2 linked regions of the Drosophila melanogaster genome follow. The protein of the gene in region 1 interacts with the protein of each later gene in a pairwise test. Each region holds a gene or a part of one and is shown in the gene's direction. Other genes may lie near its edges. The genes, in order: lbl and Cerk.

Region 1 (5,096 bases):
GCTAATTATGATTGACAGGGCGTGTCTCGTCTATTGAGGCGCCCAATTAAGAGTCGTTTTATAATTGATTTTGAATATGAAGGCAATAGCGATAGCGAATGTTCCCAAGCCCCGTCAATTTCTCACTTCCAAGGCAAGCGAAAGGAGAGAATGCCCTGGCTCGTCAACTTTAGTCAGTCAAGTGTAGGCATTAATCAAACATCGCGGCCATCTTGCCACCAAAATAGGGGGCAGTCGAAGGGATTGGAGAAGGGCCCTTATGCAAATTCAGCGTCATAAATTGCGATGTAGGGTTCGGGTAAAATACATCTAAACAACACCCTTTCAAGAGACTGAATAAACTGGATTTTATATTAACATACTGTGCTACTCATTTTGTCAGCTGGGTACCTGTGTACTTTTGCTGGATCAAGTTATTATTTTGTAATTTTATACGTTAAACATTAAAAGCTAATTTGCCCATACTATGTAGTGTAAAAGTCCAATTTGTTGTAAGCCCTTGATGAGCCCAATAATCATTGGTAATTGATGCTCCGCGCTTTAATAAACAGATACAAACACAAATTTGTTGAAATTGCCACTTCCCCTGATTTCTTTTCCCATCTCGAAATAATCAATTATACTCGTTTTCAAAGGGCAGTGTAGAACCCATTATCGATTACGGCTCGCCAGTTACATCATTTCACTTAGCCGACTCTTCAGTCACATTCCCACCGGCAAAGGGCGCAATGCAGTTAAATAGACATTTGCATGCAAAATTCAAGGAAAAGCGAGAAATAAAAAAGAAAACCAGGACAAACAGCGGAGCGAAATTGAATAAAAAACTGACACTGACAAACAAACGAAGCGAGGCGCATACAGGGCGCATACGTGATACAACGAGCGGACCAAAGTTGCAATCAATTTGGAAATGCATTGAGTTGAGCTGTGGAGTGGGAAGCGAGGGAAGTGGCAAGACAAACGAATGTGTGCCAGCAAAATGCACTTAAACAAATGGAAATATAAATGGGAAAATATAAAATAATATAATCATAAATTGTGTGTAGAGAAACTAACTAACTAACAAGATGCAGCTAGTTATTAGATCTAACAACGATCTCAAGTTAACAAGTAATAAATGTGAAGAGCAAAGTAACTGTCATGTTGTGCCATTTATAGGTTATTACTTTTGAGGTGCAGAATTCGTTCGCTTTTTAATTTATGTTGAGGAAGTTTGAGGGAGAAAGACATTTTTACATTACTATAATATTTTTCATAGGCACATCTATTTATGACAAATAAACCTCTTTCAAAAAGACGTTCTTGAACGAAGGATTGTCAGTTCGGGGAACTGTTTTTCCCAGTGCATCAGAGGTCTCGAAACACGGATTCGAAGAGGCTTGTTTTTCCAGTGGAAAATAGATGAGGAGTCGAAGCCAACGGTACAACGAGACATCATTATTGATGACAATTGAGTGGGCCAAAAGAGAGCTGCGAAAAAGCGGGTGAGCCAACAATTACGATAATTAACGCAGTCAGTCGCCTGGAAAGCGACGGGAAAGAGAGGGAAATAGTGCCGCCCCAGAGAGAGAGCGAGAATGAGAGAGAGAGAGAGAGGGAGGAAAGAGAGCGCATGTCAAATTGTACAAATTAATGACGTTCGCACGTTGACAGCGACTTTTGGTCGGGTGAGGGGGTCTGTATGGCCCTCGACCAACTGCTATTGGTCCTCTGGTTAGCTCTCCCTCTCTCCATCTCTCTCTTTTCTGCTGGCACGCCCCCTTGGCGAGAGCGAGGCGGCGTTTCCAATTAGACAAGCTGCGCAGCTGCGCGAGTCCGTGACGTCATGGGTGCCAACCAGTTTGGAGGCCCCAAAAAGCAGTTGAGAGAGCTTGGCCAAGAAAGAGAGACAGAGAGCCGAGCAGCATTAGCATCGCATTCTGGCCACGAGCCATTTTCGTTGTTGGTGTTTGTGTTGCACGTTGTGCCGACGTTTTTCGTGTGACAGCCGCGCGTTTTGCCGACGCGTTTTTAATCGCCCGTAGAAAAGAGTTTGGAGCTAAGCCGTAAGGATACAGCCAGGATGTGCTGAGTGGCCAAAGGAAAATACACCTAGAGATGCCGCAAAGAACTCCCAGTCCCGCTAACTCTGATGTTTCGGTGGGTTCGCCCAGTCCACCGCCTCTGAGATCGTTGAATATGAAACGATTGCGGCTTTTGAGGAGTCCTATTAGCCTGGAACATGACCGCCAAAAGTCATCACCCGTCAGGGTCAAGAGCTTTTCCATTGCCGATATCCTGGGGCGAGGGCATGAAGAGGATCGTGTGGAGAAGAAGCCGGAGAGAATTGCCATTCCCAATGCTTTACCAGGAGTACCTGCTCCATTGGCTCTGATCAACGAAAGATTGCAAATACCCTTGGTGCCGAATTGCCCTCCGCCGGCTGCACTACATACATTTTTATCGCCCGCTTTGCTCCACAGCTATGAGCAGCGACTGGCCTGGGACTACCAGCGCCAGCTCCAGGAGCACTTCCAGGCACAGGCGCAACTCCTCCGGCAGATGACCCTGAATCCCGCGATCATTGCCTCCGAGGACGGCAGTTCAGAGCGTTCCCAGCGATCAAGCAGCAGCAATGGCAGCACCGAATGCTGCAGTCCCACCCAGGCGGAAAAAGTGGAAAAACGTTCCCAAGAGGACAGAATGGAGGTTCCTAAGAAGTCGCCCGAGGAACAACCAAAGGGGGCCAGCAAATCAAGTGGAGACACTCCCTTGGATGCCCTCTTCCAGCTGTCCACCAAAAACTTTGACGAAGAGCAGGGTGAGTAGTTTTCAAGAGAAAATATATTCCTCTAAATCCAAACAGAAGAAGACTTTGCTTTTAAACTGCGGAACCCAGTGGACAACCAAAAATCATATTCTTCATATTTACTATATGTAAAAAAGTACAAACAAAATTATAGTGCAGAGATAATAGATATTTCATCAGCTTTTTCTCAAGTTTTATCAACACCCCTGAGTATATGAGCTTTTTGTTATATATGATTGGAATATCTTCAACATAAAAATATCCACAAACTGTAGAATTACTTACTCCGCGTTCACCTCTGTGTGCACAACCGCAATCAAATTACATTTTAATATAAACTGATTTCCCAACGAGACCCATCATAACCATTAGCCTGGCCAGCGATTGATCAATTGTTGTCATTACGTCTTGATGAGATTCTGCTTAAGGCGTAAAAACAGTAGTGAGGTCAGCCTGCTCGTCCGAGGTGGCTAAATCAATTTCAGGCCAGCCGGCTGGCAGCTCGCTCGGCATCGCCTTTGATGGCAATTGCCTTTCCCAGACCCAGACCCAGTCCCAGTCCCATACCCATACCCAGATCCACTCGAAGGCCCCAGCCCGGTCATATGATGATGCTCTAGCTGCGGCGAGCTGCTGCTCCAACTCGAACTCAGACTCCAGCTGATGGCTGATGTCTGATGGCTTTGGCGCATGCGTATCGTTCGGCATAATTTGCTTAGCGGCGTTGATTTCTCGTTAAGTCGCAGACGCAAACCGATTTATCCCACACTCGGAATAAAAACAGAAACTGCCGGGAGTCACTGGGAAAACTATTCCTCATAATATCTTCGTTTGGAAAACACATCACCTTGATACAAATTATTGTACAAACAACTAACTAAGAGTATTTAAAAATATCCTGAACGGAACATTTCTTTATTTATTATATCTGCAAATCAATTTCCATCATTTTTCGGTGTAAAACAATATTGGCCATGAATGTCTATTAAAATATCTTCCCACAGCGGCTGTCATATTTTTTCCGAGTGCACTGACCAGCAATCCATCAGCGAACCCATGGTCTGCGCTTTTGTTCATCAGCTACTGAAATTGAATTTACGCGCCGCACGTACATCAGCCAATTGGTTCGTGCTCCACTCTAGATTGCCGCATTGCCGGATTGCTGAGCTGTTGGGTTGTTCGGTTGCCACAGAGCCATCTAATCAGCACCAGCTGATTTGATCGGTTGATCAACTGCTACTGGCATTGAGTGCCGCCCGGGATGATTATGATTATCGCCGAGCTGCACTTAAGCGCCGCAGTTTGCGAAAATTGTATTGCTTTTTCCCAAGACAGCATCCGGTGTGGAAGTGGAAGAGAAGACGCGAGGTTGGCCATGGACTGAACCCTTTCTACGGCTGCCTCCTGCAATTTGCCCGGCTGATCAAAAGCCGTAACCGGCCAGTTGAGGGAAAGATCTGAGACACTTCCGCCTGGTAATTAGGAGCAGCGACAACTCCCATTGCAACGCCATCGTAGCCCCACTTGGGGCTTGGGCCTGCTCACCGCTCATGACGATTGCCGGCAGATAAGCCATAAAGAGGCCCAGGCAGCACATACAAAATAATTACAATGAAAATGGCTGAAAAGTTGCAGCTATTTGAACAATGGACCTGTCGTTAGGTCTTGTCAATTACGCGTAGATACCTGCCACATTACGTCACCGAAGAATGGGTACCCTTTAACACGTTTCAGCAGAGTCGAATGTTGCCAGAAGGGTTTCTTTCTTTTAGATCGTAGAACGGTTTCCTTACATTTTCTCAGTTAGTATGTAGAATTTCTATGGTTCCGCCAATTGAAAATGGAAAGTGGATAATTACTGGGGGAACTACCCTCTTACAGGGTATACCGGCAAACGGATGGCGACTTGGGCACAAAGAAAGCCCGGTCGTGGGGCGATCAGCACGGTCGGTGGCTGCCGCTGAAATGTGGGCTTGATGAAACGCCAAGACAATTGGCACAGACAGCCGCGTTATTGAACGCACAAACGGCACAGAGCGGCGGATGCATCCCTAATTACAATTTAATTACTAAAACTTTTCCCACTTGACAAAAAGGCGGCGGCCATGGCAGTTGAGGACCAGAACACCAGAAGACCCAAAGACTGCGACGCAGCCGAGCATGAACCACAAACGCACCGCAACCAGATACATTGACAGGCCCTAGACACACACACACACACTTCGGCCACAATGATGATGGCTCTTCGGGTTGACAGTTGATTTGACAGATAGCAGTGTAAACATTTTACAAAATGCGGGCTGAGGTC
Region 2 (5,071 bases), about 16 Mb from region 1:
AGGCGGGGCCACCGGCGGGGCGCAGTGGCACTCCGTCTTGGCGGGCTTCTCGCGACAGGTGCAGCGGGTCTCCAGGGCAGGCGGCTGCTCCCGCGGACCCCGGCTGCACGTGATGTGGTCCGCCTGAACGGATGGCGGAGGTGGCCGGCTACGGTTCTGAGTGCACGTGCACTCCACGGTGGGGGCTCCCCGGCTCTGGTAGAGGCTGCATGCGGCGGGATCGCCCGGCGGCTGCGTCGAGTTGACCTGGCACCCGCCTGCTCCCTGGCCCCGCGGACCCGGATAGGGACAGCTGTCCGGCTGCTGCTGCGGCTGGTGGGCGTACGAGGGGGGTGGCCTGTGGGGCGGCTGCTGGGGGGGTGGGGCTCCGCCGCTGGTGCCGCAGGGACAGTTGTTGCACTTGCCACACGGAGACGCTGCTGGCGGAAGGATTAGCGCGCTGCGGGTGGCGGTCTACAGTCCATTTGATACTCACACATTTTCCGAAAGTTAGGGCTTAGGTGTAATTAATTGTCCCTACAGGCTGTCCTACAAGCTGGTAAATCAAAACTGACAATTCCGGATCGAGATCTCTAATCGGGTTTTGTATACCCTGCGTTCTTTGCATTCATTTACGCTTTAAAAAGTTTGTATGACCAAATATATCTATAAATTAACAGTTTGAAAATAATTATCAATAGCACTCCATTAGATTACTTATAAACTTATGGACTCCACTGGTTTAGTTAAGCCCAATTAATGTTTAAATTTCTGCAGTTTTATTTGGAATTAACAAAAAAAAAAAAAAAAAAAAGTATAGTCGTATGTCCTATTACCAAATAATAAAAAGAGAAAGCTGAAATCATGAGAACGCTTTGGTCGAATGCCCGAACTATTGCTTATCCTAAGTTTTGCCTACTTTTCTTATAATTCAATTTACCTTACACTCTTCGAGTAACGAAAATAACAAAAGCGAACACGAAATTAGGATGACCAGGCTATCAGATACCTAGTATCAGATGTCTCTTAAAACTATTTTAAAATTAAATGTACGAAAGTAATATTCTACTAAAGTGCAACCTATTGAAATAGATTCCAGCGGAAATCCCGAGGAATTTCGAAATTAAATGCAGGAGAATTCCTTGATAATTTATGTATAATGTATGTACGCGTAACAATCACTTCGCCAATCGGATTTAAACAAAAGTGAAAAAAATTGATTATAAAATAATTCTTAACATTTTAAATTTATTTTTTCCTTTTTTGGTTCCTGGATGAATATCTTATCCGTGAGTCTAGGAGTATGACCTTGAGCAGTTGTTGTGTCTTCTGCAAATTGACAAAATGGCTATATTGGCCACCAACCAATTTTGAACCCGACTGAACTCATAGCTGAACTACTTTACCTGGAAGAAGTCCGGAGTCCCCACATCGACACAAGGACCAACCGTAACCCGCTGGAGACTCCCGCCCAACACGGTGTCATTGGTGACCGTTGAGCAATTGCTGCAAGCTGCGCAGCTAATGTTGTTGGTTATCTGGCGGCTGCAGTAGAGTTTTGGGATGATGTGGATGCTGGGATGAGTGATTTGATCCTGGGGAGTAGTGTATTAGTAGTGTAGTATTTAATGGTGAGAAAACTTAAAAAAAAATATCGGGCACAGTTATTTTTGGGTGAAGATGCCGTTAATTTTAAGGTAGCCCTAGTTCTCGCCAGACTTGAGAATACCCCAGACCAAACTATGTGGTATTTCAATCAAGTCAGGTGGTCTGCCTCGTATTTTCCACAGTTATATGTACGGTCACACTGGCGAGCGGACGTACACTTCGCTTCGATTTGTCCGCCTGTGTTTTTTGTAACGGCCACGGAAGTGCATTTCTGGTGTTCTCGTAAATTCTTTGTGCTCCAGCGAGTAGGGGGTGGAAAGTGTGGCTAAAACGGGAAACCGGGAGATGCCGAAACGCCATTAGCACCAATTGCACGTCGGCTATTTTCCAATTGTGTGTGTGCATTTGTTTGTGTGCAAGCGAAAAAGTGCAAGTGTGCGAAACTGCAATGCACATCCGTATCGAGTTTTCTTGATTTCCCCATAAACAGACGGAAAAACAGCGCAACGACTTCGAAAGTGCAGCCGTGTTTGTATGGATAAACGTTCCTACCTGGCCACCAGGTGAGTTCCCCAACCAGTTCACACTGGCACTCCAATTGGAAGAACGGACTAGGATCGAGAATAAGTAGGTACACGAGCACCCAAGTTGGAATTAAACGCAGAGAACTCAAGCCAGACGCACATACCCCCACACGCACGCACACACCCTTACGCCTGTATACACACATGTTCTTGTCAACAGCTGAGTTGTTGGTGCTACACAGCTGTATTGCGTTGCGATAACGGCACCCGGAGTATGGAAATGACAGCTGTCCCTGTCTGCACCACCCCACCCCCCCCCCCCTCCCAGGGTGCTATACCCTTCTGACGCACTGCGGCTAGAGCAAGCGAACCGGGACCCTTCGGTGTATATGTGCACTGTTATTGTTTTGGTGGTGCAAAGTATCGATGTCGATGCTGCGATACTTATTCCTTGGGAAAGAAATGTCTACTTCTATGGGTTAAATTGGATTTCAGGGACCTTAATTAATAATAATTTAATGACCTGCCAAGCATAGATTGCAAGTAAATAGCAACTAAAAAATAAGTATCTACTTTGTTTTCATTTTTACTCATATACTAATAGTTTATTTTAACATAACAATGTATTCTGGGAATTGGCAGAAAACCTATTCGTGTACCTATTTCCTTTGATCTTAGCAGACCATCTGCGCTATAGCACTGAATAATGACCCCTCACGTGTCAAAGGGAACTTGCCCCAAGTTATTTATAATATTTTGTAGCTTTGCTTTTGCTATTTTGGCTGTGAGGTGCGTGCACCGTCGAAAAGGTCAGACATGGGCTGATGTCTGGCAGCTATAAAGCGGGTCAAGATTGAATAACGCTCAAAAGGGTGAAACGAGATAAATGGTGGAGGGGTTGACGATTCTAATAATGTCAGTAGTTCTGGAGTTTAAGATTGACGTATTTGTTTGTATTTCGTACATATCTACAGCTGTGTTCAGAAAATAGCAGTGCGAAGGAAACTAAGTAATACAAAGGTATTTTTCCATGTCCTTTTTCGGAATCGACTTTTTATTCCACTTATTTTTGTTAAATTGAATGTGTAGATAGGAAAAAAAAAGAAAAGCCGGTTAGTTTTTCTTGTTATCCTTTTTTTATTTACATTCTTGAGCAAAATCGCAATTTTTAGGCTGTTCATAAGAATAGCAGTGCCTGGTTTTGACCAACGTAAAGTTCCGAAATGATCATTATTTTCTAAAAAGTGAGTTTGGTTAAGTTAATTCGTATATTTAAAAGGGCAAAAAATTAAAAAAAAAATTTTAAATTATATTTTAGTGGGTGGAGGACAGCACTGCTCCCAGGAGAAAAGAATGTTAATTCTTAAGCTTAGAAAGGAAGGAAAAGCATTAAGGACATTCAAAAAACTCTTGAATGTGCTGCCAAAATGGTATCCAATACCATTAAATATGAATGGAAGCCCGAAAACCGTGGTACCAAACGTAAAACCACAGAGATAGAGGATCGACGCACAGTTCGTTAGAGCAAAGCCTATCCTTTTGCATCCTCTAGGGACATAAAGTCTGAGCTGAACTTGGGAATCAGTGACGTTAAAATTTCAGTGCGAGGAGTCCACGAAAGGTTCCCCCACTTAGCCCAAGGCTTATTCAGGCAAGGTTTACCTTCGCTAAAACCTACCGAAACTGGCCAGTCTGCAAATGGCGTAATATCCTTTAGACTGATCGGTCAAAAATAGTGCTATTTGGTGGAAGTGGTTCACTACAGTATATCTAACGACCTCCAAACACGGAGTACCACCCAAAACACCCACTGAAGACTTTCAATCACGGTGGACCTAAAATCCTGGTATGGGCTTGTTTTTTTACAATGGTTATGAGTCCATAACATATGATTTATGGTATTATAGACCAAAACGCATATGTAAATATACTTAGTGATGTCTTATTGTCATATTCTGAATATAATATGCCCTTAAAATGGACATTCCAACAGGATAATGATCCGAAACGCAGATGCAAATCGGCTAAGAATAGGTTCACCCAAAATGGAATAGATGCAATGCCGTGGTAAGCACCATCTTCCGATTTAAGCCCGATTGAAAACCTGTAGGGGGACATTAAACAATATGTGTGGAAGAAGTCCCCGACGTCTAAGGCTCAGATTTGGCAAGTTGTGCAGGATGCATGGGCAAAAATTCCTCCCAAACGTTGCCAGGACCTGGTGGACTCCATGCCGCGTGGGTGTAAGGCTGTGCTGGCTAACAAAGGCTATCCAGCCAAGTATTAGGCCCGAATTAACATATTAAAAAGAAAGACTAAGTTCGTTCTAAGTCAAGTTGAATTTTGTTACTATTTTTTCATAGCACTGCTATTTCATTGAAAACCAGAATTTCTGCCTATTATGTTGTTTTAATCTATATTTTCGAAACTATTAAAGAAATAAAAGCGAAACATTTGTTAAATTGTTTGAAATTAAATACCTAATGATATTATAAAAAAAAATTTCCCATTAAAACTGTAAATCATAAGAATTTTTTATCTTAAACACTCAAGTCCAAAGCACTGCTATTTTTCTTAACACAGCTGTACATATATCTAGAGCATTTCCCCTCCATGTCATTCGAACTTTTTGTGTGGTTATCAATTTACCCGCTAGTTTACATTTCCGCAATGTGTCTGTCTTTTCCTTCTTCACATCGACCTACATGTACTAGACTTTTTCGCTTTGTTAAATAATTACTGCTGTCATGTGCTTCTTAGATGTTGGCGTGAGTCAACGAGCTCAAAGTTAAAAGAAATCGGACACAGTTCTATTAGTTCTGTTTATGGTACAGGCATTTAAATTATAAACAACTCGGTCTATAGATAAACGAAAGTATTGATTAGGCCTTCAGAGCTCTGATATACATATGTACGTAAAATCCGGCCCACTAACTCCCACGTTGCAAGTTAACCGAGAC

What was found.
Region 2: the proteins of lbl (region 1) and Cerk interact in a two-hybrid assay, tested with the Drosophila melanogaster proteins (one large-scale study listed by BioGRID).

Annotation. Positions count from the first base shown.
Region 1 is NT_033777.3:21,430,969-21,436,064, reverse strand, and holds the start of lbl (ladybird late), read left to right. Parts: upstream 1-1,931; 5' UTR 1,932-2,097; coding exon 2,098-2,800; intron 2,801-5,096.
Region 2 is NT_033777.3:5,365,000-5,370,070, reverse strand, and holds the start of Cerk (ceramide kinase), read left to right. Parts: upstream 1-1,764; 5' UTR 1,765-2,150; intron 2,151-5,071. Other genes in the region: CG31542 (uncharacterized protein), read right to left, coding at 1-416, 476-479.